Astyanax mexicanus: one gene and its partners. The protein of the gene in region 3 interacts with the protein of the main gene of each other region in a biochemical or structural test. Links are inferred from orthologs where the notes say so. Each region holds a gene or a part of one and is shown on either strand. Other genes may lie near its edges.

Evidence for each region.
Region 1: the proteins of rab6a (region 3) and kif20a form a complex in vitro, tested with the Homo sapiens proteins (2 studies listed by BioGRID). The link is inferred for Astyanax mexicanus from reciprocal best matches to the Homo sapiens genes RAB6A and KIF20A.
Region 2: the proteins of rab6a (region 3) and bicd1a form a complex in vitro, tested with the Homo sapiens proteins (3 studies listed by BioGRID). The link is inferred for Astyanax mexicanus from reciprocal best matches to the Homo sapiens genes RAB6A and BICD1.
Region 4: the proteins of rab6a (region 3) and ocrl form a complex in vitro, tested with the Homo sapiens proteins (2 studies listed by BioGRID and IntAct, with this or other methods). The link is inferred for Astyanax mexicanus from reciprocal best matches to the Homo sapiens genes RAB6A and OCRL.

What each region holds. Positions count from the first base shown.
Region 1 is NC_064424.1:33,418,091-33,426,167, forward strand, and holds the start of kif20a (kinesin-like protein KIF20A), read left to right. Parts: upstream 1-4,584; 5' UTR 4,585-4,765; intron 4,766-8,077. UniProt on the Homo sapiens protein: Mitotic kinesin required for chromosome passenger complex (CPC)-mediated cytokinesis. Following phosphorylation by PLK1, involved in recruitment of PLK1 to the central spindle. Interacts with guanosine triphosphate (GTP)-bound forms of RAB6A and RAB6B.
Region 2 is NC_064416.1:18,196,732-18,205,502, reverse strand, and holds the start of bicd1a (protein bicaudal D homolog 1), read left to right. Parts: upstream 1-5,538; 5' UTR 5,539-5,542; coding exon 5,543-5,663; intron 5,664-8,771. Other genes in the region: slc23a4 (xan_ur_permease domain-containing protein), read right to left, coding at 682-729. UniProt on the Homo sapiens protein: Regulates coat complex coatomer protein I (COPI)-independent Golgi-endoplasmic reticulum transport by recruiting the dynein-dynactin motor complex.
Region 3 is NC_064427.1:4,753,090-4,761,604, reverse strand, and holds the start of rab6a (ras-related protein Rab-6A), read right to left. Parts: upstream 3,829-8,515; 5' UTR 3,538-3,828; coding exon 3,468-3,537; intron 1-3,467. Other genes in the region: mrpl48 (39S ribosomal protein L48, mitochondrial), read left to right, coding at 6,177-6,197, 7,316-7,368, 7,834-7,865, 8,000-8,085, 8,485-8,515. UniProt on the Homo sapiens protein: The small GTPases Rab are key regulators of intracellular membrane trafficking, from the formation of transport vesicles to their fusion with membranes.
Region 4 is NC_064417.1:49,199,179-49,207,444, reverse strand, and holds the start of ocrl (inositol polyphosphate 5-phosphatase OCRL), read left to right. Parts: upstream 1-4,847; 5' UTR 4,848-5,486; coding exon 5,487-5,528; intron 5,529-7,619; coding exon 7,620-7,699; intron 7,700-8,266. Other genes in the region: si:ch73-335m24.2 (protein eva-1 homolog C), read left to right, coding at 865-1,262. UniProt on the Homo sapiens protein: Catalyzes the hydrolysis of the 5-position phosphate of phosphatidylinositol 4,5-bisphosphate (PtdIns(4,5)P2) and phosphatidylinositol-3,4,5-bisphosphate (PtdIns(3,4,5)P3), with the greatest catalytic activity towards PtdIns(4,5)P2.

The DNA of each region.
Region 1 (8,077 bases), on a different chromosome or scaffold from region 3:
ATTTTTCGCACTATAAGGTGCACTTAAAATACTTTAGTTTTCCTAAAAATCGACAATGCATCTTATAATCTTAAACTTAACTGTGAATTTTACCAGTCAGGTTATAAGGAGCAGTAAAGCCACTCTGCTGAAGTGCAGCATTATAGTGAAGTTTCTCCAGCACAGAGGCTGGAACAGCAATAGCATCAGCCGCTAACAGCAGTGCTAGCCCTTTCGCTGTTCAGAGCTGATAGTGCCCAGGGTTCCCAGAACACTCAGGGTACCTCGGTCTAGCACTAGGACATTTACTAGAATTAGCACACTGCTGCTAACTGCGCTGTTGACAACATTGAAAATCTAAGCTTCCTGTAAATAAACAGAAGCACTTTACTCACCCAAATAAACAGTTTCCAGGAGAGAAATCTGTGTAAATTAACATCCAGTGCTTGTTTGACTTGAAAATATATTTTTTTAAGAATTACAGTTTTGTTTACTTAGAATTAGAAGGGAAACATGACGACACCCTTGTTCCTTACTATTGTCGCGTAAATGCACCTTATATTCTGGTGCACCAAATTATAATACACCAGCAAATAGACGTTCATTGATAGTGCGCCTTAGAATTAGGAGCTCTATAGGTGCCCTCATAACGTGATGAATCATATTTGATAGTAAAAGACAAAGTAAATAGTTGTCAACCGATTTCCATTATTGATATTTAATTTATTCAAAGCTGTAACCGTGATCCTGCTGCAGTGTGTGAGGAGGTAATGCAGCAAGGTTTCGTTGAAGTTGTAAAGCTAGATTTTGTAAATGTTTGTTTTCTTTCTTCCTTAGAGTGGAACATAGAGGGAAGATCTGGATGAAACCAGGACTAAAAAAATGTAAGTTCCACACATCCACATATAGCATTTTGTTTGTTTGTTATTTTCTAATCTTGTATTATTTGTGTGTACAGATGCCTGCGCACTCACACTGGACCAAAACACAATACACCCTTGTCTTACTCTGTCTGAGGGAAACAGAAAGGCGAAGAGGTCTTGGGAGTATCAGATGTATCCAGAACATCCAGACAGATTTGACAACATCAAACAGGTTCTTAGTGTGGAGAGTCTGACTGGACGCTGCTACTGGGAGGCTGAGTGGGATGGGAGGGGGGCGGCTATGACTGTGTCGTATAAAGGAATAGCAAGGAAAGACTTTGGATTGAAAAGTCTTTTTGGGGCCTGGAATCAGTCCTGGAGTCTGGAGGGGTTTATTAATGCTGATTACGCTCTTTGGCACAATTGTCATCTTACTCCCATATCCACACCTCCGTCCCCCTCTCACAGAATGGGAGTGTTTCTGGACTGGGCGGCGGGTACACTGTCCTTCTACAACATCTCACCCAGCTCAGACACACCCATCCACATACACACCATACACCACACATTCACTGAACCAGTACATGCTGGATTCAGGCTTCGCTCCAATTCCTCAGTTTGTCTGTGTAATATAGATTAGCCATTATCAACACTGTGAGCTAGAATCAGACCCAAGTCACTGCTCAACCTTGATTTAACACCAGTTTTCATTAAAGCTTTTTGCAAATTTGTAATATTGTGAAAGAAAATGTTAATTAATCAGTGCGTGTATCAGTGGTGGTAGCTCATGGTGCTTTTTTAAAGAATTTGAACCTTTGCCTAGCTCTGAGTTTGGTAGTTTTAATAGCACTTTGTTAGCTGTACACAGCTGCAACTCAGTGAGAGTCAGTGAGTGGAATAAGTGAGTTAATCAAGGCTTAAGTCTGTGGCTGCACAGTAATCCTTTCACAAACCTTGTTTTTTATTTCATGTTTCATGTACTTCTTGGCTTCACTAAATATATGCCTACTGACAAAGCAAGTCAAACCTGTTCTCAGATCAGGCAAACCCAACGACAAGACAAGACAGCCTTGGTTACCATATTTGTGTAGGATATACCGATGGAATGTGGCCTCCAAATTAAAGCGCCAGAATGCTCTTATTGCGCATAAACTCCAATCTATCCACAGTTATCAATATAAGCGTCTGCCAAATGTAATATAATATAATATAGGCTGCTTTTCTGTTTTCGTATGTCTATGATGTTCATTTAATCTCCAAAATCTTCAAATCAATAAACTGCAATATTGCCAGTCCAATCATTTTTGTGTCCAGTGTTTTAAATAGCATTTAGTGTGCTAAAAAGCAGCGGTGCAATGCAGTCTAAGGGCGTTTTCACACCTAAAGTTCGTTTCTCTGGTCCGAATCAGTTAATGAGTTTGTTTACTTGGAGCGTTTTCTCGCTCTGTTCGGTCTGGCTTCACATAGGCATAAATGTAAACACACCGAAATGCACATCAATAAACCACGCGAGCAGCCTGTGTCCTCTGATTGGTCAGAGCTGTCTGACACGGGAGTATGTTAAATATAAATATACGAAAAAAGTAAAGACAGCGAGAAGATTTTGTGTTCCAGCGCAAATATCTGTGCTTTAACAATGAACGCTGAAACACTGCACTTTCAAACACAGTGTTTCTCCGTGCAGCGCAGATTTATACATAATAAACAGAGTCACGCGGCTGCGAGCAGTGAATGCAGCGCAGACGGCGCGTGCATGGACAGTGTTTGTTCACAGCTGTGGTAATCAGCGTTATCTGGCTAATATATCAGTTTAAACTGTGCTTGCTTTATCAGAAGTTTAGCTCAAATAAATGGCTTATATTTAATAGCTGGATCCGATCGAGACCGGATCACATTCTCACCACAAGCGAACCGCTCCAGAGTTCGTTTGGCTAGCTGGTCTCGGTCCGGTTCTTTTGATCCGCACCCGAGTGCGATTACTGTTTTCACACCTGCTCAATCGAACCGCACTAAAGTTACAAACAGACCAGAGTTCGTTTTAACCGGACCAAATAGTGCTGCTGTGAAAACGCTCTATGTAGTCAACTTTAGACTGTGCTGTCTCTGCACTACTACCTTGTAGTAGTTCAAGACTTATAGTCTATTATTTTACACAAACGTTTCTGCATGCCTACATTGATTTTGGTGATGTAAGGCTTGAATGCCGCTGCTTGGACATTGACACCTATTTCAGGAAGCGCTCTACTGTTCTTGAGAGAATCTTGAGGTCTTCATGCAGTTTTCATGCAGTAAATTTTACAACTTTGTGCACAGATGGGATCCTATAATGATGATGATTTGGATGGGTGAGCATATACTTTTGGTAAAATAGTGTATGTAGTGATTTAACACTCCTCTAGAGACTAGCCTGTACTGGCTGAAGAACCGTCTGTACTGACTAGTGACTGATCTGGAGACTTGCCTGTACTGACATGACAACTTCACTTTAGACCTGCTTGTACTGACTTGAGACCTGTCTTGAGATATTCCTGAACTGACCTTGAACCTGATGTGTCTTTGCTTACTCTGCACTTAACTTACACTGGCTTACAAATGTCATTTTTCTGTGCAAAGCAGACACCTTGTGTTGACAATGGCTGTTAATTGTTAATTTCTCTGCACTCTGAGGCATCTAGGTTGGCCACATATATACCAGTTGTGACAGTAGAACCATATCCAACATAAATTTCATGAAAAAAATATATCTTGCGGCCAGCTCCACGGGGTGGTAGACTTATTGTTTATTGCTTATATTTTCACTTGTATTTTACACATTTTGTCGGTTGAATGTTGAATTTAATATGGTACATCCATTCCCCATTCCTGCATTTCAGACCTGAAACACACAATAAAAATTGTATTAAAGCATTTTGTTGCCATTCCTTCTGCCAACAAAAATATGATGATCCCAATCAGTTACATTTTAAGGTGCTGTATTATTGTCATTGTTACATTTCTTTTAAATTGTAAAAACACTTTTTTTTTATTGGGAACAGGAAAGAACTGCAGTAAGGCCAGCCATGTACCTGTACCTTGCTTTGTAAAGTACCTTTGTGACCCTGGGTACTTCCTTTTTCTTACAGCACTTATGTTGGAGTTTTTCCTTGTTGCTGCTACTCACTGGAAGGGTTTATATGGAAGGGTTTATATTTTAAGTTTTATTTCTTCTGTCCTGGTACCACATTTTTGGAAAAGAGCTATAGAAATAAAACAGATTTGATGATTTATTCTAATCTTCTGTATTGTTTTACAGATAAACCCACTTATTGATCACTGGAATTATGTTTATTTTGGTATATTCTAATGTTATATATTGTTAGTTACAGAAAAAAACACTGACCACAGACTTTATGATTTTACTTTCATGGGTTTCATTTCATTCTGTTTTCACCTTTAAGGTTCTAGTGCGCTTTGTTGTTGTTGTTTACGCCGGTTTGGAGCTGCTGCGTTTTATTTGTCCACCAGAAATATCCAGAAAAGGAACCTAATTTCCCAATCCACCTTAAATGGTGCTGCTGTCACATGTAGTTTATTCCATTTAAGGTGGAATGGAACATTTTACATCTGCAGTACTGTTACTGGATTTCGTTGGTTAAATTCAAACCGTCACTGTGCTGCTCACCAATCAGCATCTGCGGCGGCCGCCCCTGCGCTTCTGATTGGCTGAGGTCGGCGCACAGGGATAGGCGGAGGGGGCTCAGCGCGATGTTTGAATACGTTGGTGAGAGTCGGTCGGGAGGCAGCGAGAGGTTCAGTAACTACAGTAGTGAGGTTAGCTTTCAGTAGTTTAACACAGCAGAGATAAAGATAGGTATAAGGAAGAGGTTTAGCAGTCAGGTCCGCGGGTATTTTGGCCGAAGAACTACAGATTAAGAACAGCAAAGGTAAGAATAAGCCCAAATCTTGATGTATAACGTTAAATACACGAGGAACAGCAGTCTGGGCTAGCTTTAGCATTAGCTAGATAGCAGTGTTTATGTAAACTCAGCGAAGTAAAGTAGTTAAACCTGACAAATAAACAGACACAACTATTGCTTGGCTGATTTAGAAACAATAATAATAGCTAACCAATCTATCTTAACTAGTTAAAGTAACTAACGCTAGCTAACTAGGTTACTAACTAACGAAAGTGACTACTGATCGGTTGGACGGTTTAACCCACAGTAGGAGAGTAATTTCTGTTTTTAGTCACTTTTCCTCTCTGCACAAACACATGAGGCTATATGTATTATTTAAAGCTCGCTAACAGGTTTCAGTGTTAGTCACTGTACTTATTAAAAATGTTACCAACGTCTAACAAGTACAGAAAACAATGACGCTTCTAATTTGCATGTCTTAAGTGTGACGAGGCTGAAGTTGGTTTGATATTCGCAGCTCCAGATTCGTTTGGCTCGATATTCGCAGCCTCGTATTCCCCGGCTGAAGTTGGTTTGATATTCGCAGCTGCCGCTACACTGAACCACCGTGAACTAAAGGGAGCGTTCACAAACACCCGCTGTTTATATTAAACACCTCACAGATCAACACTGAAGGAGATAGAATGAAGAAAAGCAGTACATCTGTTTATTAACAATGTAAATATACAATATATTATTAAATGTAATTTTGTATATTGTAAAATATTTGTTTTAATTACTGAATTTATAATTATATATTACAATAAATAATTAAATATATATTTAATAAAATTATATTTTAAAAGCCATTGCGCTCAAAAAAATGAGGCAGATGTTCAAGTGTGATTTTGAAGAACTTTTTCATGTTGGGCCAGACCAAATACACATGATCTGAAGAGTACTACTCTTCTTCTTTAAGGAAAACCTGGAATTAGCCTGGCCCAAGCTGATTTTATACTTTAAAATTAACTGGCAACATGGAATACCGATCCATAATGCACAATTTTTTTATGTAAAGCTGATGTTCCAGTGTGATTTTGAAGGACTTTTTCATATTGGGCCAGACCAAATACACATGATCTAAAGAGTACTAGTCTTCTACTTTAGGGAAAGCCTGGAATTAGCCTGGCCCAAGGTGATTTTATACTTTAAAATTAACTGGCAACATGGCATACCGATCCATAAGGCAGAAAAAAGTTTAATTTAAAGCTGAAGTTCTAGTGTGATTTTGAAGGACTTTTTAATCTTGGGCCAGACCAAATACACATGATCTGAAGAGTACTAGTCTTCTTCTTTAAGGAAAACCTGGAATTAGCCTGGCCCAAGCTGATTTTATACTTTAAAATTAACTGGCAACATGGCCTACCGATCCATAATGCACAAAAAAATTGAATATAAAGCTGATGTTCTAGTGTGATTTTGAAGGACTTTTTAATCTTGGGCCAGACCAAATACACATGATCTAAAGAGTACTAGTCTTCTACTTTAAGGAAAACCTGGAAATAGCCTGGCCCAAGCTGATTTTATACTTTAAAATGAACTGGCAACATGGAATACCGATCCATAATGCACAATTTTTTTTATGTAAAGCTGATGTTCTAGTGTGATTTTGAAGGACTTTTTAATCTTGGGCCAGACCAAATAGACATGATCTAAAGAGTACTAGTCTTCTACTTTAAGACAAACCTGGAATTAGCCTGGCCCAAGCTGATTTTATACTTTAAAATGAATTGGCAACATGGTATAACGAGCCATTTTGCACAAAAAAGCCACTGTTCCAGTACAATTTTGAAGATTTTTTTAATCTTGGGCCAGAACAAATACACATGATCTGAAGAGAACTAGTCTTCTACTTTAAGGAAAACCTGGAAATAGCCTGGCCCAAGCTGATTTTATACTTTAAAATTAACTGGCAATATGGAATACCGATCCATAATGCACAATTTTTCTTTATGTAAAGCTGATGTTCCAGTGTGATTTTGAAGGGCTTTATCATCTTGGGCCAGACCAAATACACTTGATCTGAAGAGTACTAGTCTTCTACTTTAAGGAAAACCTGGAATTAGCCTGGCCCAAGCTGATTTTATACTTTAAAATGAACTGGCAACATGGAATACCGATCCATAAAGCACAATTTTTTTATGTAAAGCTGATGTTCTAGTGTGATTTTGAAGGACTTTTTCATCTTGGGCCAGAACAAATACACATGATCTAAAGAGTACTAGTCTTCTACTTTAGGGAAAGCCTGGAATTAGCCTGGCCCGAGCTGATTTTATACTTTAAAATGAACTGGCACATGGCATACCGATCCATAAGGCACAAAAAAGTTTAATTTAAAGCTGATGTTCTAGTGTGATTTTGAAGGACCTTTTAATCTTGGGCCAGACCAAATACACATGATCTGAAGAGTACTAGTCTTCTACTTTAAGAAAAACCTGGAATTAGCCTGGCCCAAGCTGATTTTATACTTTAAAATGAACTGGCAACATGGAATAACGATCCATAATGCACAAAGAAATTGAATATAAAGCTGATGTTCTAGTGTGATTTTGAAGGACTTTTTAATCTTGGGCCAGAACAAATACACATGATCTGAAGAGAACTAGTCTTCTCCTTTAAGGAAAACCTGGAATTAGCCTGGCCCGAGCTGATTTTATACTTTAAAATGAACTGGCAACATAGCATACCGATCCATAATGCACAATATTTTTTATGTAAAGCTGATGTTCCAGTGTGATTTTGAAGGACTTTTTCATATTGGGCCAGACCAAATACACATGATCTGAAGAGTACTAGTCTTCTACTTTGAGAAAATTTTGGGATTTGCCTGGCCCGAGCTGATTTTAGACTGCACAATTAATTGGCAACATGGCAGCACAAAAAAAATATTATTTAAAGCTGATATTCCAGTATGATTTTGGACTTTTTTTTCAGACCAAATACACATCAGATGAAGAGTTCTGGTATTCTCAAAATCAATGCTTTATATTCATTATTTCTGTGCAAAATGGCTTTCATGTCATGTTGCCAATTCATTTTAAAGGATAAAATTCTTCAAACTTGTACTGGAACAGTGGCTTTTTTGTGCAAAATGGCTCGTTATACCATGTTGCCAGTTCATTTTAAAGTATAAAATCAGCTCGGGCCAGGCTATTTCCAGGCTTTCCTTAAAGTAGAAGACTAGTACTCTTTTGATCATGTGTATTTTTTCTGGCCCAAGATTAAAAAGTCCTTCAAAATCACACTGGAACATCAGCTTTACATAAAACATTGTGCATTATGGATCGGTATTCCATGTTG
Region 2 (8,771 bases), on a different chromosome or scaffold from region 3:
GTGTTACAATCATAACAACAAAAAATAAGACCTACCTCCAAAGGTATTTACTACTCACACATACACATGTGTAGCATGCAAAAAAATGCTAAAAAAAATGGTTATTTGAGTGATACCATAGAAAGAGAAAAAATATTTTCCTTTCATTAAGAACCATTTTTCTAAACTAGATTTTAGTGAATAACCTTAAACATTTACCCATCATTTGAACTACTTATTTTAAACCTTTTAAACCATTTTTAAACCTACATTTCTTAACAAAAGAAGGTTATTTAAGAAACCAAACATGGCTTGGTTGGTACTGTTTCAGTACTATGCAAAAGTATTAGTTTTAGTATTAGAATCAAATCCTTATCTACAGAATAAGTGTTTATATACTCACTTGATCATTTAGTAATATTATAATGAATATTAATAACATTAAAAAAGTAGAAGATTCTGCATTACTGTGTCCATTAAAACATCCCTAAAGTTCTCCTGATGGGAATCCAGTGTTATGTATACATATTTTATCCATCACATGGTTTGCTAAGTCGGATGAGTTGAGGACTGACTCAAGCTTTGTTCTTCAACTATTTCCTTAAGAGAGAGAAATTCTCGTTACCTTATTCTGTATTCATGTTTAACTTCATCTGTTTTTACAGTAAAAATGTACTGCTGAGATATAGGTAACATACTTACAGGAAACGAATAGTTGTCCATCCCATTGCTCTCCTTTTCTGAAGTCATGAGTTGTTCTGTAGGTCCTTAAAGTGAAGAACACAGAACACTGCACAGTTTCACAGATAGACCTTGTAAGACAGGATGAAAAGAGACCAAGGAAGTACAGCAGAAGCAGTGTGAAGGAAGACAGGGGACCTTTGAGGAGATACGTTACAGAGGGAGAGAGAGAGATGGAGAGAGAGAGAGAGAGAGAGAGAGAGAGAGAGAGGCGATGAAGGCTGCTGCTGCTGCTGCTGAAGTTGATTGTAAATGCAATGGGACCTATCAGCTGATCATGTGAACTCAATTCAGCAGAGCTAAAGAGCAGCTGACTTAAGCCTCGTGCTGATAGAGTAGAGCACTGTCTCACACGCCCACGCCTACACACACATACACAGACACACATGCACACGCGTATACACACACTCCCACACACACACAAACGCGCATACACACATATACAAATACACACATATAAATACACACACACAAATGCTCAAACATATTGCAAAATCGCAATGTCTCTCTCTCTTTCTCTACCAGTAAAAGGAGCACAATGAAAGCATTTACTAACAGCTTATCCCATGCTAAGATTTATTTTTCTGTTTAATTGGAAGTGCAAACAAGTGCACTGCTAGGAAAATGAATCACGCATTATTTCACATGTATAGTTCAAATGTAAAACACATTATAATGCATAGGTTAAAAGGTACTACACATGATGGAGAGTAGAGAATGAGGATCATGAGATGATGAAAATAAATTAAATTAAATTAAATTAATGGTTTAAATAGTTATACTCTTAAATAAATATTAAATCTAAAATAGAATGTTTAAGCAATAGAACAAAACAAATGACAAATTACAGATAAAAATCCCTCCCTGGATTTTATTAATAAATAAGGGAAAGTTCAACAAGCAAACAAGATTTGATGAGAGAAATTATACATGCCATTCAGATGTTCAAGAGAACACTTGGCGATGCCCAAGAGAACACTTGGATATGCCCAAAAGGACACTTGGAGATACCAAAATGGACACTTGGAGATACGCAAGAGGACACTTGGAGATACCCAAAAGGACACTTGGAGATGCCCAAGAGAACACTTGGATATGCCCAAAAGGACACTTGGAGATACCCAAATGGACATTTGAAGATTGGGTATCTTCAAATGTCCATTTGGGTATCTCCAAGTGTCCTTTTGGGCATATCCAAGGCATATCTCCAAATGTTCTCTTGGGCATCTCCAAGTGTCATTTTGGGTATCTCCAAATGTTCTTTTGGGTATCTCCAAGTGTTCTCTTGGGCATCTCCAAGTGTCCTTTTGGGTATCTCCAAGTGTCCTCTTGTGTATCTCCAAGTGTCCATTTTGGTATCTCCAAGTGGGCACTTGGAGGGCACTTGGGCACAAGGGCACTTGGACATGCCAAAGAGAACACTTGGAGATACCCAAGAGGACACTTGGAGATGCCTAAGAGAACACTTGGAGTACCCAAAAGGACACTTGGAGATGCCCAAGAGGACACTTGGAGATGCCCAAGGGAACACTTGGAGTACCCAAAAGGACACTTGGAGATACCCAAGAGGACACTTGGAGATGCCCAAGAGGACACTTGGAGATACCCAAGAGGACACTTGGAGATACCCAAAAGGACACTTGGAGATGCCCAAGAGAACACTTGGAAAAACCCAAAAAGACACTTGGAGATACCCAAAATGTTACTTGGAGATTCACATTAACATGCATAGAGACACTTGGAACTGCCAAAAGAGGACACTTGGAGAAGCTTGGAGATACCCATAAGCACACTTGGAGATACCTAAAACTACACTTAGAGGTACCCAAAATAATACCCAAGTAAATGCCCAAGGGAACACTTGGAGTACCCAAAAGGACACTTGGAGATACCCAAATGGACACTTGGAGATACCCAAGAGGACACTTGGCGATACCCAAAAGGACACTTGGAGATACCCAAAAAGACACTTGGAAATACCCAAAAGGACATTTGGAGATACCCAAAAGAACACTTGGAAATACCCAAAAGGACTTTTGGAGATACCCAAAAAAAAACACTTGTAGATGCCCAAGAGGACATTTAGAGATACCCAAAAGAACACTTGGAGATACCCAAAATAACATTTGGAGATACCCAAAAGAACACTTGGAAATACCCAAAAGGACTTTTGGAGATACCCAAAAAAACACTTGGAGATGCCCAAGAGGACATTTAGAGATACCCAAAAGGACACTTGGAGATACCCAAAAGGACACTTGGAGATGCCCAAGAGAACACTTGGAAATACCCAAAAAGACACTTGGAGATGCCCAAGAGAACATTTGGAGATACCCAAAAGAACATTTGGAGATACCCAAAATGACACTTGGAGATGCCCAAGAGAACATTTGGAGATACCCAAAAGAACACTTGGAAATACCCAAAAGGACTTTTGGAGATACCCAAAAAAAAACACTTGGAGATGCCCAAGAGGACATTTAGAGATACCCAAAAGGACACTTGGAGATACCCAAAAGGACACTTGGAGATGCCCAAGAGAACACTTGGAAATACGCAAAAAGACACTTGGAGATACCCAAAATGTTACTTGGAGATTCACATTAACATGCATAGAGACACTTGGAACTACCAAAAGAGGACACTTGGAGAAGCTTGGAGATACCCATAAGCACACTTGGAGATACCTAAAACTACACTTAGAGGTACCCAAAATAATACCCAAGTAAATGCCCAAGGGAACACTTGGAGTACCCAAAAGGACACTTGGAGATACCTAAATGGACACTTGGAGATACCCAAGAGGACACTTGGCGACACCCAAAAGGACACTTGGATATGCCCAAAAGGACACTTGGCGATACCCAAAAGGACACTTGGATATGCCCAAAAGGACATTTGGAGATACCCAAAAGGACACTTGGAGATACCCAAAAAGACACTTGGAGATGCCCAAGAGGACACTTGGAGATACCCAAAAGAACACTTGGAAATACCCAGAAGAACACTTGGAAATACCCAAAAGGACATTTGGAAATACCCAGAAGAACACTTGGAAATACCCAAGAGGACATTTAGAGATACCCAAAAGAACACTTGGAGATACCCAAAAGAACATTTGGAGATACCCAAAAGAACACTTGGAAATACCCAAAAGGACTTTTGGAGATACCCAAAAAAAAAACACTTGGAGATGCCCAAGAGGACATTTAGAGATACCCAAAAGGACACTTGGATATACCCAAAAGGACACTTGGAGATGCCCAAGAGAACACTTGGAAATACCCAAAAAGACACTTGGAGATGCCCAAGAGAACATTTGGAGATACCCAAAAGAACATTTGGAGATACCCAAAAGAACATTTGGAGATACCATAAAAAAAAAACACTTGGAGATGCCCAAGAGGACACTTGGAGATACCCAAAAGGACACTTGGAGATGCCCAAGAGAACACTTGGAAATACCCAAAAAGACACTTGGAGATACCCAAAATGTTACTTGGAGATTCACATTAACATGCATAGAGACACTTGGAACTGCCAAAAGAGGACACTTGAAGAAGCTTGGAGATACCCATAAGCACACTTGGAGATACCTAAAACTACACTTAGAGGTACCCAAAATAATACCTGTAAATATGGACACTAGGAAATGCACAAAATGATATATGAAGATGCCCAAATGGATAGTTGGAGACAAGCAACAGGGGACTGTAGATGCTGGAAAATACCAAAAAAGACACTGTGTATATAGCCAAAAAGATGCTCAAATGGACACTTGGAAAAGCTTGGAGATGCCAAAAATTCTATATGGCGACACTTGCAGATGGAAAAATAAAAAAACATGGAGATGGCAATAAAATCCCAGTGTTCTTTTGGGTATCTCCAAGTGTCCTCTTTGAGTATCTTAAAAAAGATTTAAAGACATGTTGAGATTCCTAAAGAGACACTTAGAGGTGCTTGGATTTACCAAAAAGGACACCTGGAGATATCCAAGAGGACACATGAAAATGGACCACATGGATAATTTAAGGCACACATATAGTTACTTAGAGCACTTAAAGATGCATCTGCCCAAAATGACAAATGTAGTTGCCCAAAAAGCGACATGGAGATTTCCATAAACATGTTCCCACTTCCGGCACAGTTTTCTTATTTCTCCTTTTTGTTCCATCTGGACTCTTTTGTGCTTAAAAAACAATTAATTTTGCCATCTCAAGAGTGCGTAAGGTAGGAAACCTTGTCAGTAAGGTAGGAATCCTTGTGTGGTTCTCAAATTTAGGATACTGAGATGTGGGTGCATTTTTGGGGACTTGGATTTGATTAATAAAACCATAAAAGGCATATTGTCCTGAACTGCAGAATTCTCCAGATTATGATTATATGACAAAACAGCAAAATAGTGATTTAACGTTTAAAAATGGGGATTTTACTACTCCAGTTGTGAAACGGACTGTAATTAGATTAACGGAGGAACAGTGAAATTACAGCACTTTGAATGTAAATACATTACACTTCGTCAAACAAAGGTGTACAGTGGACAATGCCTAAGAAATAAAAAAAAATATATAATAATAATAAAAATGCCTAACCATGACTAAACATAATGCCTTTCTCACAATACAGGATTTTTACAATCTTAACCAATGTTGAAATTGTTGGAGATACCACACATGAAGACATTTTACAACAAATTTTCTGTATTAATTAATTGTTTGATATTAACTTCCCCACACTATACTACCAGCTGTACCACGCCCAGACCACGCCCCCATTCTCAAAACCTCGCGGGAGTTTCGGATGTAAACAAACAGCGGTGACTATGGTCATGCTAGTTGTGAGCGCTTTCTGTCCAAAAAAGACAAGAAAAAGAAAAGGATATGGACGAAACCAAGAAAAGAAGGAGTTAACAGGGCTTACACGCACTGCAACGCCAGCTGGAGGTAAATATACACATGTACATAGATATATACCGTACACCGCACATATAAATATAGGTAGGTTAGCTGAATGTAGGAGAGCAACTCCAAACAGCCAATTTGCTATATCATATGCTTTAACGTGTCAACTACTGAAACTATGTAACTTATTTAAGTGTTTTTTATAAACATGTAAAGGTTGTAAAATTGATTTAAATACAGCTACTCCATTGTTACAATGGTCCCAGTGTAAATTAAATACCGGTGGCGGAGCATAAAGTCCACTAATCCAGTAGAAGGTTATATAGGCCTAATAGATAATTGCATGATTTCAAATCATGTAAACTAGACTAACTGCTAACATGCTAGTCATTTTTGCTTTTATCTTATAAAACATTGTTTGTAATAATACGTGTTTCGGTTACTAGAGGTGATCTCAGGACGATATCTAAATTTTTTACCTCAAAAACACTTGTGGTAATAGCTTTCTCTGGGTGTTTCAAATGTGTCTTCCTTTTGTTAACAAGAAGACAGTCTGTTCTCCAATATACTGTTAATTTTTAATAAACCCCTCGTTTTAAATACCATGTTTAAAGTTCACACAGTTTAAATCCAACCTGTATACACCCCCCTGTATATCCAATAAGATGAGCTCTCATTAGTGGATAGTCTTTCAGTCATGAGGGTACAGTCACGTTTCAAGTCGCAGCCTGTAGAGAATAAAGTAAAGAAGAAAAGAGGAGGGAAATGACATACGTGCTCCTCTGTCACGCAATAGGGACCACTGTCTCGTTTTTGTTCTTTGTTAAAAAGTCTCATAACAGTTTTAACGAACTGTAAGGCGTAACCTTGTCATCTTGAGGGTGCACCGAAGGCAACGCCGTCTATAAACAGTAGTGTGTGTCTGTGTAGATGTACTTTAAAATATGGACAAAGAGCAACGTTAACAGCAATGTTAGTGGGCTGATTTAAAGTGACCGGAACTGTGGAGGTTGAACCAAATCCATTATTCAGATTAATATATTGTATCTAATGGACTATTGAGATTTAGTCACGTTTCAGTTGTGAGTCTGTAAGATTTCTGACACGATTAGAGCATGTTTTGATGCGTCTGGGTGGCTTTGTGTGTTTTGTGCATAATTTAGTGAGTAATTACGTGTCTTGTGCGTTTTTATGCATCTCGTGCGTAATTACGCATTTTGTGCGCTTTTACGCATCTCGTGCGTAATTACGCATTTCGTGCGCTTTTGCGCATCTCGTGCGTCATTACGCATCCGGTGCGTTTTTATGCATCTAAGACAAAACTGAATCAATCTTCACAGTAACATATACTCTGTTAGTCTCTTTGTTCGGTAACGTGCTGATAAAGGTGTTAAAACATGCTTTACCACCAACAGACAGCACTATTACACGTGTACCTTCGCTGTGTGTGCTCCTAAATTATAAAACAGTCCTCCTTTAGATATCAGACTCACTGAATCTACAGCATCTTTTAAAAAACGTTTAAAACCCCACTTTTACTTTTTAGGCTTTCCAGAGGGATCATGGGAAATGTGTCTATTTTTGTTTAATTTATTTTATAATTATTTATTTATTATGTTTTAATTATTTTACTGTAAAGCACTTTATGGCTCTGTCTTAGAAAAATGCTATATAAATAAATATTACTTACTTACTAATGTGCATTGTCCTGATCCCTATAAGCTCCCCAAAAATGCACAGATGTATCAGATATCGAAATTTATACTAATAAATACTATATACTATTTATACCCAAATATGTAAATAAACTAACATTTGTGGTTTAAGTGTATTTTTATACACAATTATTATACTATATTTAGAGAGGATTAACCCTCAAAATATGTTAGTAAATTTAACCACAGTGCAGATAGCTCACTTTCTTAACATTCATATTCTAAATAACAAACCAAATTACATTGTCTCTAGCCTTTATGAAAGTTCTCAGATATTTAGTATCCCAACAGGAGGAAGAAAAACCAAACAACAAAACAAACAGTTTTTTTTAAGTTATTTCAGTTGATACATTCAGTGTGAAAATGTTTAAACTCATGCAAATTAAAGAATGTCAGCCTGTATAAGTGTATAAAAAAACTAACTTAAGCATGAAACTTATCGCATGTAAACTAATACATAAAAAAACAGATAAGCAATGTTACAAACCCAGTTTTGATTTTTAATTTTTGCAGTTCTGCCATGTCTATGCCTTTTTCTGTGTTCCTCTTTTCCTCTGGACCAATATAATATTCACTCTTCCATCAGTGTTATTACTCTTTTGACCCTATCAGCAGGATTAGTGTGTTTATTTTGCCTGTATTTAAACTCCTTCTACTGTGGAGCTGCTGATCTAAACTGAACTAATAGACACAAAGAAAGGGGATATCTGGTCACCCTAGTTAAATTATATCTCAGAATGTCTTAAATTCCCACGATTTAGCAGAAGCAGTATACTGCTGACTGTAACAGAAGGTCATTGTGATGTTTATTTCCCCAAACAAGACACGTGCCATCTCACTTGACATCCAACCACTTATTAATCTGTAGTTACTAATTCAAAGAGAGTGTATGCAATTAGTCAATTTCACAGAACACTCGTTTCAGCCCAGTTTAGTGTATTCAACTTTAGCAATGAATTGTTGGTATGCTGAAATAGTACAGGCTGGGGTGAAATGTAGTCTAGTGGAAATTGATGTCACATGAAAGCCTGAGAGGCTGGGGACAGTAAGTTACAGTAAGTCATGAGATTTCTGTATGCTGCATTTCTTTTTAGGCCTGTACATTCATTCACCACTGCCATCCCATTCATAGTTGTGCCCTGCCAAAGTATTTAGTGCCCTCAAAAGTCAACTGATTTGTTTGTAGAAACAAATTCAGTATTCCTTGTCTTTTTTTGTGTTATGAAAAACATTTTGATACAACTACTACATCCCCAAATATGGAGCATAAGAGAATATCCAGTTTAATTTACAGTTATCAACCAAAACAGAAGTGATGTCAACCTCATTATGATTGATGGCATCTTTGAATGAATCATCACAAAGTGGAAAAGTGTACTGTGGCCAGGCAAATCATTGTTCTACACTTTCTTTGAAAGAAACATATGTGCTTCAA
Region 3 (8,515 bases):
TGTTCATGCCAATAATCAATAATAATCTCATGTGTGTACACCATGACATTAATGTAGTAACAATGCATTTATTGTCAAATTCAAAACAATGCTGAGGTTAAGCTGATAAATTTTTTCTTTAAAAATAGCTACCAACTAGCTATCTATACTACACAGTGTGGCAGTGGGCAATATGACCATATTTTATCATATAATTATTTATTTTCTTATTGTATAGACAATATTGCTTATTTTATCGAAGACACCATCAATGCTTAAAGAACACTGACCAAACAAAATTGCTTTAAAAAGTGTGATTAGTCCTGAAATGGATTAAGGCAGTACATTCTATATTGAATAAAAATCACTGCTGGATAGTATTTGTACTGTAGTTTTTAAGGATTGGTCACAATTGATGTATTTTGACTAAAATCATGTGTGCTGCTACTGAGATAAATATTGTGTGTGATATATATATTTTTAAATTAAATAAATAAACTGCTACACCACTATAAACAAAACAAGCCCCTTAAAATATAGATATGCCTAAACTTATAATAATTGATTAACTGTATAACTGTATAACAATTGATTAATCAACAGCTTTTGCCACTCTAAATCTGGCTAGTGTGCCCCAAAAAATTGGAAATTTAGTGCTGCTGCATCTATAACTATAAAATAATTTTTAATAAAACAGTGATGATTGGAACAAGTGTATTAAATTTGTATAAAATAGCAATTGCTGGACAAATCACATGTTTTAACCAAATACTACAAGGCATGTGTGAATGTCCACACATAAGACAAAACACAATACATTCTTTAAAACACCCTATCCAGATAGAGGTCTTGTTTTGATCATAACCAGCAGCATCCATGACGGATAACAGACCACAGAAGAGACAGAATTGTACAAGTTTTGAATACACATACACTGCACTGTTTCACATCTGATTTGCTAATATTTACTGAAAACACGAACACCTTTTGTGAGACATCATTGTGAGAGGAAGCGCAACATTCATTTGCTAGTCAAAATGCCTCTGAAGGCTGCAGTAGGCGGTTCATCAAGCTTGTAAGGGCAAGACCAAAGCGTGAAGCAGCCTGTGAGGTGAAGCCAGGTGTTTTAGCCCAGAGGAATCAGACTCCTACAGTATAAGATGGTTTTCCACTTATTTATATTCTGTACAATACATACAATACAAAAAGCAGTTAGTTTGGATAAGATAGATTAAACAATAATAGCTGGTTATCTGAGTGTTATCTAAAGCCAATGCCATTACTACTGCATATACAAATAGTACAAACCTATAATAAAGCTTAATGCCATTTACAGCTTACTTTTACAGGCATGTGAAATGTGTAAGCATACCCAAGTCACACTGTGAACAGGTTATGATCAGATTACTCAAACTATGTGAAAAGGTGGTAAAAGATGGACATTTTCAGGTGGAACTGTTAGAGGATTGTAAGAACCATTTACTGTTCCTCAAAATAGAAACATCAGAGCCCCACATCAGATCTCATCTGTTTACACTAGGGCTGAAGTTGGCAATAAGATACACATCATGATACAGTGGTTACAATACAATATATCACAATATATTGTGATAGTTTTCTTAAATTTGATTTAAAGAATCACTATAATAGCATAAAAACAACCATATTTATAAGATCTTAGTAAAAGTTAAATTGTTATCCAATCAGAACACTGGGATCTGATGGGGTTTACCCAAAACAAAACTAACCACAGTCTACCACTAATTTTCACCAGTATAAAATTAATTCAATCAACATTTCATTTCAAACTGCAACCTAAGTCTAAAAAAATCCAGTTAAAGCAGCTCATAATAACACAGGTCAAAGCCAAGTGTAAACAGGCTCAGAATTTCTTAACAATGAATTGACACTGATTTAGTGACAAAGTGACAAAGCTTGATTCTTTCAATGAAATCAATTATTGACTAATCTTATTTAATAAAAACTATGTTGTAAACATCATTAGATAGCTTAACAGTACAGAGAACTACTGTAACTAACTTTTTTTTATCTGTCGTTTAGGCCAAAGTAAGTGGTTCTAAAATCCTATCAATAGCAATTCGAAGACACATTCACATAGTAAAAAAAGTAGCTAGCTTGCTGTTTAAATTATTTAAACCAATTTCACAAACAAGGCAATCTTAAGGTTAAAACGCCCTTAAAGAAACGTCAAATAGCTTCAAAATGTTTAGCTAGGGCTAGCCTGCTAACATTATCTTAAATAGCTCAAGTTTATTAACAAGCTAAGCTAATTACAGCAATATTAAATCATTTAACTACACGACTTGACATATAGGCGTATAAAGAAAACTCTAAATTAGCTGAGATAATTGTTAACTAACTAATAAATATATATTTTCCAGCTTAGCCCAGAGTTAAAGCTTAACAGGAGCCTGTCTAATATTGGCTAACAGCTAGATAGCTAACCTATCAGTCTGTGGGCCGGTGTTGTGTCGACTTATGCTACCTATCGATACGTGCTTCCTACAGGCACTGCGCATGCGCCAACATACTTTTTTTTATTATATTATATTATATATCTTTATATTTCTTATATTTTAATCGTGTTTTTTATAATAATAATTCTGTTTTCCTGTGTTTTTTTGTTGACTTAGCAACCTGGAATCACTGTCATTACATAAAAGTGTAAATGACAACTAATATATATATATATATATATATATATATATATATATATATAATTCCCTGGAAAAGTATTACAGAACATTTATCTAAAATCACAAATGTTAATATACAACTTTCTCCAAGACTAATGCCTTTAGGTGACAAATCTGTATATAAACTTAGTAAAGTAGTAGCTAAAATGATTTTATCTTCTGCATTAATAGGCAAATGCCACAGCCGCCCTCGTTAACTGTATGGAAAAATAATTTCATGGAAAATTGTTTGATTGAACGAGTGTCCTATTCATCTTACTCAAAATATAAATTCTTTAATAAAATGTGGGACAAGACAGTAGAAAACTTAAATCTGACTGACTTGGAGCTGTGTAATATTTCTTAAACTTTTTCAGTGTTTATAACACTGGTGCTCATTATGTTTGGTGTGCAAACGTTACCAACAAATGTTTTTTGCCTGTTTGTTGAGATTGATTAATGGGCTATTCCTGTATATTGCAATTAACTTATTTTGAAAACAATAAACATTAAATAGAAAAAAATATTTTAAATGAATAGACAGTGCTTTAGATATACTTTTAGTGGAAACATGCTATAATATTGTACTTCTTTTGTATTTTTACCTTTAAATATACACTAGGGAAGCACAGATTGACAACGTAGCACAACTAGACAGAACACCAGGGGCTAGTTAGCATTGAGCTAACTAATAGTTAGCTAGCTACCTAACCCATATAGCTTAGCTCACTGGCTAAACAAAAATAGCGGCCAGATCCAGCAACTCCAGTCGACATAAATACTTCAACATACCGCTCTGTTCTCCGAGAAACACCAGTTTAAATTTCCTCAGCGGGTTCCCGAAGTCTCCGGAGGTCGACATGCCTGCAGCGGAGAGGGAGCGGCAGCTTGACGGGGGCTCGGTACTCTACTGGCGGAGACTCGTCCAGCTCCGGTAACCGTCAGTCGGCAGGCTGTGGGCGGGCACGGCACGCCTCGGTCAGAGCGCTAAAAGGGCGGATACAGGTGAGCCGATATGTGAGTATTTTAATCCGCCTCTAGTCCGAGTAGAAGTTCAATCCAAACCCAAGTTTAAACCCAAGTTCTGAGACCCTCCCGGCTCTCCCCCTCACTCCATCACCTCCGCTCAGACTGGCGGAGGAAGCGGCAACCTACCGTGATAGCGGAGGCTGTGATTGACAGCCGGGTCTGACCAATAGGAAGCAGAACTTTAAAAAGCGATTTAAAAATTATTATTAATAATAAAAAATATTAAAAACATGTATTAATTGTATCTGTGTTTATAGTTTTTGTCTTAAAAAATAGCACACAAATAAATCAATGTTTAAAAAAACGAACCCTTATGTTTTAGTTAGAATTTTATTATATTTTAAAATATGTGCATGTTAATATAATAATACATGTATGTATGTATATCTATGTATATATCTATGTGTGTATGTATATGTATATGTTGCTTCCAAAAATGTTTACAGATAAAGTAAATTTATAAATAAAAATAAGAATAATTTCAAATAATTTTGAAGAAATTAATTAATTATATTTATGATGGAATTTTGACACAATGTGAAGAACAACTGCTTAAAAATGATATTATGACATGAAGCATAATTTGGCCAAAAATGAAGAGACAGGGATTATATATAAAATGTGTCAGTAAGTAACTTAAGTGTTCTATTTAGATAGATAGATAGATAGATAGATAGATAGATAGATAGATAGATAGATAGATAGATAGATAGATAGATAGATAGATAGATAGATAGATAGATAGGTAGATAGATATCGTATCTAAATTTCTACATTTTGATCTCATATAAGGCTAATAAAGTTCAATTCAGCGTGTTTCTCTGCAGAGATTCAGGGAAGGTTCAGTCTGGGTGAAAGAGGCGGGACGAAGATGAACCAGTGTTTGGTTGAGTCCGCGAGCCGCCACGTCACGGCCCCTTACGTCATGGTCTCTTTAAAAACGCCTGCATCATCACCATCATCAGGGGGTTTAGGAAAAGGCTGAACTCCAGATTGATGTGAAATAATGACACAGATATGAGTCACATCCGACACTTGAACATTAGCTCAGCGGAACTGATCAATACTGAACTCATTAAACACCCACTGCTGGGTTTATTCTTTATAATGTTACACTGGCCTCCCTCTAATCCCTTATCTTATACAGAGACACACTTGTGAGCACTGAGCACAGTTACTGCTTCATTGTTAAATTTAACATAGTAAAAATACACATTATACAGTCAACAGTCAAAAATCACCTCTGTATATAATATATAATATAATTATTTAATATATATATAAAACGTATAACACATAGATGTCAAATAACATAAAAATAAAATACAATATGTTACCTCTATATATTTCTGTTCTATGCTTTATATTCATGATGTGTCATATTTTTACATAGGAAATCTTAAGTAAGAAAATCGAGAGTGAACTGGTTTCTTTTTATTTTCATCTTGGAATGAATTATGGTGATATTTTGGAGTCTCTTGCGGTGAGATGTGGCATAATTCTAAGTAAAAGACACTTTAAAAGTTGCATACTAAAACCTTCCTTATGCAGTCATATTGTGCACAACCCCTTGAGAGCTGCTTGCTTTGTTTGTTGTGAAACAAAACTACCTTGTGATTTAATAACTTGTTTCCACGCTTTAATTATCTTGTTCCCATCCATTAGGATCTCGTTCCCACCTTCTAATTATCTTGTTTCTACAGCTTAAAAAGTCATGGCCATGGGAATTTTTTACATGATGTCACCTTAGGGGATCTGTACATTTTTACCATTAGAATAAAAGGATAAAGTGTAATTAATTAAATTTAACTAAGTAAATGATGTGAGGTTGCTGCAGTTGGTCATGTCTAGGCTCAGCAACAGTATGTGCTGAAATATACTAATTATAGACCAGGTTATTCCATCAATGTTTTTTTTTTTTTACTTCCCTGATGACACGGGCATATTCCAAGATGACAATGCCAGGATTCATGGAGCTGGAATTGTGAAAGAGTGATTCAGGAAGCATTAGATAATCATTTTCACACATGGAAACCTCATTGAGAATCTGTGTGAAGTGCTGGAAAAGAGTTTGAGCAGTGGTCAGACTCTACCATCATCAATGCTGCTGCAAGATCTTGGTGAAAAATTAATACTAATTTTGTGACATTGCAGAGGCTTATTGAAACAATGCCAGAGTAAATGTGTGCCAAAATCAGAGCTAAAGACGGTCCAACAAAATATTTAAGTGTGTGACTTATTTTTGTTCTGTCCAGGCAGTGTAGATTACCAGTACTGATAATTTAATGTGCTCCTCTCCAGGAGGCGGCAGTACAGAGCCTCTCCTCATTCAGACTCAGGATTCAGAGAAGAAGAAATCGCAGCCGCAGCGCTGCTGGAGTGTAGAACTGACTATTACTTAATGTTTATAGAGATATAGAGTTATAGAGTTATAGAGTTTAACTCGGCGGAGTTTAAGCTGATCTCTGGAGGATGAACTCGGTAACGGGGAAGGTAACTGCAGTACTGGTGGAGTGTTAATACGGCGTTAATGTGGGGCTGCTCTGTGGTAAAGGTCATGTGTGCTCTGCTGTGTGTCTGTCAGTACACTGTTACTGTAGTTTTTTGGGGTAACTGGCTCTCAGCTCCATTCATTTATATTATTTTGAAGATAAACACAGGTTATAAGTTGTCCTGAGGTAATAAATGTTGCTAAAACACTCTGTAACTACGTTAATTAAAAAATACAATCTTTTTTTAAATAGATAATGTATTGTAGCGTTATGTGTTTATGTATGTAATTGATGTGTTTAATTTAACATGTATTTAAATGTAAAGAATGTAAGAAAATATATTTATTAATTTTACAGGTTGAGTCCCATGTAGAACATTTTCCCCTTCGATTTTGTTGGATAGAAGCTAGTCTTATTAACATTATATTAAAAATATACAGGAGTAATACACTTAATTTCAATTTATTTGACATACAAAAATGTATACAAGATTAATACGCTGATTAAAGGTTAATATGCATTTTATAAAATAAATTTTAACAACATAAATAGATTTTTTTATATAAATCTAACAATTTCATAAACAGTAATTTACGAACACTCTGATTTTGTATAAAATAAAATAAAAAAATGAACAAATATATAGTAATATACCAACAATAATATACCATAAAACTAAAGTGCATGCATATAATCTGCAACACCCAATTACTAATTACAATTACTAATTACTAAAATACTAATAAATTGGCGATATCATGTACATTATAATATGGCACACCTCTATTGTATACATAAGTAAAGAACTCAACAGTAAATTAAAAATATGAGTATAATAAGAACTACAAAAACAGAGCAATAATATGTGCCGTGGGATGGTAAAGTGTTAGTCCACAGTAAAAAATATGGCAGATAAAGTGTCTGTGCATTATAAACATTCAGTGAGGTACAGTATATGTATAACAGGATTGAGTGATTGAGTTCTGGATAGTACTTTAAATTACTTTGTTTGCATGCTCTCATGTATGAAAGTTTTGAAATGTATTTCTGAAAAGTGGGAACCCTGTGTATATCAGTCTACACACAATAACAGGTTATTTTATATTATTATTTTTACAGATGTTGCTCATGCAGAACACACGAGCACTGGCCCAGGCTCTGTCTCTGATTCGGTGAGTTTGGTGCATTGCTTTAGTTCACTGCTCTTAATCAGTATCTCACATATAGCCCTGCCATTTTCAGCATTAACCCTCTTCCTAACACACCTGATTTGTTGTAAGGAGGTTTTGGGAGAATGTAGAATTAATGTGTTGAGCTTTTGTACTCTAGGAACAGGGCTGTAGTAGGGTTGCAATGATTAGTATTGGTCAACATAATTGACAATGTCAGAGTATCTCACAATTAAATGTGTAATAGGCTTTTAAATGACATTTAAGTTGTTCAGTTCTTTCTGTCATTTTAAAGCAATAGAAAAAGCTAGGAATAGGAGCCATATCCACAGGAAGCTAGATAAAGGGCATGGCAGAAGTAATCAATAACTAATTGAGTAATTGGAAAAACTATCGTCAGATTGGTTGCAGCAATATGCTGTGATTTTTACTGATTTGTTATTATACCTGTGTATTTTTCTCTTACAGGGCACCATTGTTAAAGCAACAAATACCATTGGGTAGGATGGCTGTTTCCTTTTCTATTCAGTGTGATGTTTGATTGCTGTGTTATTTAAACATAATCTCTAATTATTTATTTCGGCCCAATATGATTTTTATTTAGCATTGAAGTAAATTTTGTATTTCTTTCTAGGTTTTCTGTTCTCAGCTGACAGACAGTACAAATCCATGCCTACTCATGGGATAGGTCGATACAGGTTTTTACTTCCTAAGGAGCAGGTAATTTTAAGAGCCCCCTTTATTTTACAAAAGCAAAAAAAAAAAAAAAGAATTGAGATACATGTGCTTTTAACAAGCAAAAACTCTGCCAAAAAAATTGCAAGATTTCTAAAATATTCTAAATGTAGATTCGTTTTAATCTGATTTTATATCTAAATGTTAATGCTACAATCAGAATAAGACTTTGTGAGTTTTTGTGCTTAGTTTAAAATAAGGGTTTTTTTTTGTTGTAATGTTGTTCCTAATATAAGCAATTTTAAATAATCTTATGCTTACAATACTTGGTAAAACAAAAAAATAAGCTTTTTTGCTTTGAAACGAGAGCATTTCACTTTGTTTAGTTTTCTGCAGTGCAGTAGTACTCTCTCCTCACGTAAGATTTACACAATTATTTTTCAGGTAAAGAAGAAGAAAGAAAAACCTCAGGCGA
Region 4 (8,266 bases), on a different chromosome or scaffold from region 3:
TGCAGAGCTTGCAGACCTCAAATAATGCACAAAAAAAAAGTTCATATTTATAAAATTTTAAGAGTTCAGAAATCAATATTTGGTGGAATAACCCTGATTTTTAATCATGGCTTTCATGCATCTTGGCAACATGTTCTCCTCCACCAGTCTTACACACTGCTTTTGGGTAACTTTATGCCTTTACTCCTGGTGGTCGTCCACCTCCTTTTGATTATATTTAGAGGTTTTGAATGGGGTTCGGATCTGAAGATTGACCGTCAACTTATTTGAATCAGTCAGCAACAGCAGGATGACGTCAAGTGACCTACAAAAAGAATGGCAACAAAAATATTGTTGGTAGTATATAGAATTGAACAACTATATTCATTTTACTCAAACATACAGTATACCAATAAATAGACATTTAGAATAATTGATCATTTTATATAGTCTCTTTATGTTTTTTCTGGAGCTGTATATAAAGAGATTTATTTTAATGTTTTTTTATATTTTAGATTTTTGTTCCACACACACATTAACACATAAAGGCATAAACTAAACTGTATTCAGAAAGTGTCCCAAGACTACTTTTCAGCTCTGTGTGAAACAAATGAAAGCTCTGTGTACTGTGAAAGATAAATCATCATATAAGCTTAATTAAATTTATGTCACATTTCCAATTAGTCAAATGGAGCAGAGTCAAGATTTATAGACTTTTGCTATTAAAAGTGAATATAAATAAAAAAATTCTTCTTGTTTTTCTTGAGTGTGTCATCCTTCCACAATTCCACAAGTCTGATCATTCTTTATATGATGGATAGAGTGAATAAATCAGTCTGGAAATGTTCGATCTTTCTTCTTTCTTCTTCTTTTCTATTCTCTAAGGTCTCCCGGAGACGGTGGCTCTGTACTTCGTGTCGGGAATCTGCGCCGGCCTGGTGTTCCTGCTGTGTCTGTTCGGGCTGAAGTCCACTCTGGTGCGGGACGTGAAGGACCTGGTGTCTGAGCTGGAGGACGAGCTGAAGGCCGCCCGCAGGTCCCGCAGGGGACTGATCGAGGACTTTGATGACGATTATTCTTCTCTGGACTCCGGCTTTCGTCACCTCACTCGCTCCTACCGCGCCGCAGACATGCTCAGTCCAGAGATGGTCATGACTGTGGTGATGGAGGACAAAAGGACGGAGGAGGACAGGGACAGAGCAGAACTGCCGAACGGAGACCTCTGGCCGCACTGTAACTCCAGCCCTTACGCCTTCCACAAAACCACGGCTTCTTCTACCTGAGACTCAAATCTGAACAAAAAGCAACTTTACTAACAACAGACTAAATCTAATTATCTTATTCCTGCATTAATGAAGCAATGGAACAAACCTGAGTGAAGCCAAATGTCACAAACATTATGGTGCTCTGAAATGAATTAAAAAATGTAAAAAAAAGTGTAGGTCCATTCCACTGAACGGGTGCCATTTCTAGTTGTAACTCTTCCAAATTAAACTTTTTTTAAAAATATATATATATATATAATTTTCAACTCTAAATTGAATAATGCGTATTAAACTATTCAAAACATGTATTGGTCAAACTCAGGCAGCTTTACTTAAGTTTTACACGGTTTCTAATCTGAAGATAGTTACAAAACTCCTGTGACATATAAAAAGCTTGTTTACATTAGAAAAAAACACTTATTCCTTGAATTTTTCTTTAATGTCTTTATGTTAAAGAAATAGTTGCATGTTCAAATTATTGATATTTATGACAAAAGAATCATTCCTGGTAATGGCACTCATTTCTGTTACTGGCACTCACTTCTGTTACTGGCACTCACTCCTGTTACTGTCACTTAGTCCTGTTACTTTGTATGTTTTGAGTAACAGGAATGATTTTTTGGATAGAATTTGCAAAACCATGAAAAATATCTAAATGGGAATCTTTTCCCAGGTGCAGGGTAGGTTAGCTAGTCTGGCATTGTTAATACAACAAATAACGTTATTAGATGTTTGTGTTTCGTTTTTGTATGATTTACTGACACCAGAAGTTAGCAATGGACTTCCCTCTGTACTAATTATGGTAAGGTTGACTTGTATAATACTGAGAAGTAGTACTGGGATGCCCCAGTTATTATTGTTTTGTTAAATTATTTATTGAAGACTAGACTATTAGACTTTCACCACCATTCTGAATTCTATATTTCTTTAAGCCTAATGTTGAGCTGAAACAGAAATTAAAGTAACAGGAAATAGTTTATAGCATAGAATTTGCAAAAACATGAAAAATAGCTAAATAGTGGCTATGCTAATAGCACGAGGGAATTGAGCACATTCTAGTGATTTTCCAAAAATGTGTATTTTAAGAATAAACAAATAAAATCTAAAAATTAATTTAGGTAACAGGACTGAGTGTTGAGATTGAACTCTCAGTTATCGTTACAATAAGATCAAATATACAGAAAAACTAATGAGTGAAATTAATTTTGGTCTTCCTGTGATCTTCAGAAAAAACAGCTGATGTCACTTCCTGTTGTAGAATGTTCCAGACTCAGGACTGAGTGAAACCCAGAGACACAACTACTCTAAAATGTGTATTTTAACTTAAACATTATGAATTCATTATGAAAAAAAAAAAACATTTTAAAGCATAGGTGGGATTTGGATTCACACAACAATGCAAAAAAAAAAAACATCTCTGAGGGATTTTAATAATTATATTTCATGGTAAAGTTTATAGTTAGAGAGTGGGGACAGGTAACAAATGCTTTTTTTTCAGTGTTCTAAGTAGTTTTTATTAATGTTTTTAATTTCACATTTTACTTTTGCAATTAGGTCAATGTACAAGACGCTATTTTTAATAATAAAATGTATTTTAAAGCTATTTCGGGCGCACATTTATATATGTAATTTCCTAAGGACAGAAATGGCACCGATTCTGTGGAATGGCCCTGTAATTTAAACACAGTAAATAATAAGTAATGTATGCAAAATTATACTCTTAAATAAAAAAAAAATTGAATGTATATTTAATCATGTCTAATTAGTCAGATTTTTTTCAATGGAGCAGAGGAAAATGCCTTTATAACAAATATTATGGAGGTCAGTATATATATACTCATTAATATAAGGAGTTTCTCACATAAAGACAATTTGCTATGGTGTAATTGTATGCTATGGTTTTACTTTAACATTAATCTACAATACTCAACAAAAGCTACATGGTTATGCAATGTTCCATCAATTCAGCATCAATTCAAAAGTTTTTCTTATTATACAGGTTTTATTTCTAAGAGATGAAAGTCTAATGCGTTTCTTGTAATGTTTTTTTGTAAAATGTACAGACATAATAAATACATTTAAAACATGTAATATATGGCAGTATGTTTTTGTCAGAATATTTTGTGGTGTGTTTTGCAGACAGATTAATTTGCTTATTCTAAAATTGATCATATGATTTGTGTTTGGCCAGCAGAGGGAGGCTTCTCCATTTAACACAGACTGAACACTGTTCTATAGTAAACTGTACAGAACTGAAACTGAAACTTTTATTTGTCTATATATTTATAATCATAAAAAACATATAGGCGTGGTCTGAACTTGTTTGTACATCATTGAAAGTCATCATTAAATGGTTTCTATCTATCATTTATAAAGGCAGCATTTTAATCAGCTGACTAATATTTTAATTTTATTTATTGAATCATGGTCATTTGTTTTGTTACAGTGTGACAGTAATAACTGTCATTAATGATTCAAACTGTGAATCATTTCCATTTTTGCTGCAGTTTTTAGATGATCTTATCTTATATTTTTGCTACTGTTGTTTGAAAGAACCTGCTTACTAAGAATTTCTTACTGTCACAAGTTTATTACACCTTTGAATTACACTAAAATAATGGTAGTGGGGTGTGGGGGCTATTTTTAAGGTGAAAAGGAGATAATGAAGTTGTGGGGACGAATCCCCACCACTTAATTATCTGGTTCCCACACCTTAATAAGTCACCCCATGATTTAATTGTGGGGACAAGATAATTAAATTATGGCGACAACATATATGGTCAGGACTTAATGATCTCCTTCCCACGCCTTAATAAGTTCATCCATTTAATCAAGCCATTGAATGAGATAAATAATTTGGGACTTATTTAGATGGGTTAATAATTAATAATAATCTTGGGGATGACTTAAGGCATAAGGCATAGGAACGAGACAATTAAGTTTCCCCACACTTTAATAAGTCATCCCCACCACTTAATATTCTTGTTCCTACACCTTTATAAGTGACCACACGACTTAATTATGGGGGCAAGATCATTAAGTTGGGGGTTATTAAGGCAAAGTCGTGGGGATGACTCATTAAGGCGTGGGAACGAGATAATTAAGTTGCAGGATTATTTGGCCAGGATCTAATTATCTCATTCCCACACTTTTATAAGTTGTTCCCACACCTTAATAAATCATTCCCACCACTTAATTGAGGGAATGAGATAATAAGTCATGGGGCAACGTATTAAGTCAAGGGGATTACTTATTAGGTCGTTGGCCATATAAGTGGTCCCCACGACTAAATTATCCAGTTCCTATACGTTGATAAGCCATCCCCACAGCTTAATTATCTTGATGCCACACCTTAATAAGTTGTGGCCACGCATTATTAAGGCGTGGGAATTAGATAATTAAGTTCTGGCCATATAAGCCGTCCCCACAACTTAATGTCGTTTCCACGCCGTAATAATTCGTGGCCACGCATTGTTATTATTACTATTTTTATTTCTTTTTATTTTAATGTGACCTTAAGGGCTCAGTATGCGCACATTCTGCGCAGTGTGGTGTGTCCAGACGCTCCGCCCGCTTGGCCCTGCGGTTTTCTCACGCTGATGTGGAGCAGCGATGCTAAAGCTAAAGCTAATGCTAACGCTAACTAACATGCAGCGCTGAGGCTGCGGACAGCTGGCGGGGCGGCGGCGCGGACAGTCCGGCGCTGAGAGAGCCTGAGGACCGGGGCTACCGCTGTCCGGCTGGAGGGTTCTGGGGACGGTTCGGCTTGTTAAGCGGCGGTTTGAGAGTCGGGGTGAAGTCGTTAGTGTGTCTGTTTTTATACTAAAGCTGCGGGGAGTCGGTTCTCCGGTCTCTGAACTCGCGGGGGAACAGTTTTTTTATCGGGTTGACACGAAATTAGCTGAATTAACAACTAATCTTTGTGGTTTATTGAGGAGATTTGGGGAAGGAGAGGGTCGTGGCCCGGTGAGTTAGTTAGTTAGCATAGCTAGTTAGGCTAGCTAGCTCCGCGTACAGCGTCTAACAGCGTCTCGCTGAGCCGGTATCTCGGGCTGAAGGCCGGCCGACACGGGTGAACATTCTGGGGCGGGGACTGGAGGACTAACCGGAGGAATAACCGGAGGACTGGAGGAAAAACAGTGGGAGGAAAAGCTGCAGCTGCAGCAGCACAGCCTGCTAACCTGACCGGAGAAACAGGAGATTAATGGAGTAAAGCGAACTAAGTGACAACAGAGCTAAAGTATGGATTCTTCTCTGGATCTCTGCGAGGAGAAATGTCTGACTGTATCCTTTAAAATGGTTTAATTTCGGTTTAAAAAAAAGCTCTGACTCTGCTTACTGAGGCTAGTGTAGCTAACAAGCTGCATATAGATTTATAAACAATCCAACTAGCTAGCTAACAAGTTGGTTAAGTTAGTTAATTATGTAGGTTTAGGTTATTTTAACTGAATAGATCAATTTAGATCTGTTCAGTTATCTAGTTAGTTATCACGTCCTAGTTTTATCTATCTATCTATCTATCTATCTATCTATCTATCTATCTATCTATCTATCTATCTATCTATCTATCTATCTATCTATCTAGCCTATTATTGTTTAGCCATATGACAAAAACATTAAATAAAAATAATAACGTATATAAAGAATGCACTACTGCAACAAAATGAATATTTAAATGTATTATTGCATACAATATGATACAGCACACCCCTAACTGAGATATTTAAAAAAAAATACGAGTTTTATCAGATTTGCAACAGAAGTCAATGATCCAGAATGTCATGATACTAGTAATGCACTTCTCCAAATATCTCCATATATCCAGGATAAACACTACTGCACAGATATGATCTTTAGTACTCTCTAGTAGATATATAATGGGAAATGAGAACAGTGTGAATTTTATGTTTGCTAAGAACAGCAAACAAATAGTACCCTGATGTGATAAATAGGGGTGGGTGATATGGCACAGTATTTCAGGGTATAATATCGTTCACGATATTCAAAAATGTTGGTGATATTATTGCGTATGATGCGATATGGCACACCCTAAGTTTAGAGTACTAAGAAATACCAAGAGAGTGAAGTTAAAATGCTTTTATTATCATTACATCTGAAGACAGGTGCAAAATTATGTTCATCAGGAACCATGATGCAACATGGAACAACAATACAATAGACAACATCAGCTTCATCTCTCTGTGAGTTGAGGAGTCTGAATGCCTGGTGAAAGAAGCTGTTGCAACTCTGCTTGTTCACATTGCAGAGAACCTCACCTGGTCCCTCAACACCAGCTCCAAAACCAAGAAAGCCCAGTAGCGCCTCTACTTCCTATACTAAAGAGAGCATCTTGAGTGTCTGCGTTAATGTCTGGTTTGGGAACTGTAACATCTCGGATCACGAGACCCTACAGCGGATAGTGAAGACAGCTGAGAAGATCATTGGAGTCTCACTCCCCTCCATCACTGACATCTACACCACACGCTGCATCCGCAAAGCCTTCAGCATTGTGAATTTTCGCTCTGAAGATAACAGACCGTCCGAGCCTCCACCACTAGACTCTGGAACAGTTTCTTCCACCAGGCAGTCAGACTCTTCAACATACAGAGACACATACCAGCTCAGTCAATCCGAAACATTTCTTTTTTTTTTTGTGACCAATTTTTTTATTAGAATCCGAAACATTTTAAGATCTTTAAAAGTCTACTCGAGTGCAGTTATGATTGAACTGGCTCTCATCAGGGCCACCCCATGAAAGGAAGTGCAAGAATTAAGAGAGATAGTTCATCAGTGTTTCCAGCGCCAGAAATCGCAAGTTAACAGCACCCTGGATAAGAGCATCTAAAGTAGTTTAGTATTTATTTATTTATTTATTTATTTATTTTTTTAACACTTTTAAGTTACTACATGATTCCGTACGTGTTCCTTCATAGTCTGAATGACTTCAGTATCCAGTTGACACTGGCCCCACTACTTTAAAATACATTGATTTAATCCAATTTGTATGTATTTTTATTCATTTTAAAGTTAGAAAGTTTTACTGTGATGCCTAGTCTCTATGTAAGTTATAAATATGTAAAATTTTGGAAATGGGCCAAAAATATATTTTATATCAGTGGCCTAAAGTGTTTTTAAACTGTATAATAACATTGTTAATTACGTTAATTTCTACTGCAGAAATAAACAAACTAAGATGTATTATAAAAACAGACCTATTTCCAGTGTAATATTCCTTTAGGACCAGTCTAACCCTACTAGAGGAGCACTGATGATCAGTCAGGTGTTAAACATATCAGCTTTTCTGTAAATCTCCCCTCTACATTTTTCCTTTTATCTTCCACCGCATGCCTTTGACTCCTTAATTGCAATGCTTAGACGGTGAGGGGGCATGAGCTGAGGGCTGGCCAGCGAGAACCAAGACTCCTCTCGTTACTGGAGCGCTCGGGACAGTTTACGTGAGTATCTATCTGATTTAAATTGTCTTTCATTTTTCTTTCTCCTGATATTAAATGCAAAAAATCTCCAGCTCTGTGTAGAAACCTTTTATTGTGTATTATATGAGCAGCTATGAGTTTTTTTGTACATTTCTGTACAATTTGTATCTGTTTTGCTTGTGCGTGTTGTGTTGTGTTCTGTTCTGTATATTAATACTATTAAGCAGTCTGATAAGCATATTTTCTTTAGATTTGCTTTTAAAGTTCCCTATTTATGTATATAGCTATTTCTAAGTGGCTTATTACTTTCACACACTCTATTTTGGCCTTAAAACAAGTTTATCTCAAGCTGTGAAGGTTTTGCTTCAGTGTGGAAGTGTGGAACTAAGAAACTGATCACTATGGATGTGTTAAAACTCTTTGGACGATTGTGCACTGAGGCAGAGTGTGTTTACCAGTCATGTTTTCAGGGTTGTACAGGCTGTGTGTGAGAGAGTCTGAGAGAGGGAGAGTGGCGTTCCGGCCTGCCAGCATGCTGCCCATTATCCTGCATTCCACCCTGGTGTCCTAAAGCCTAATAAGCCTCAC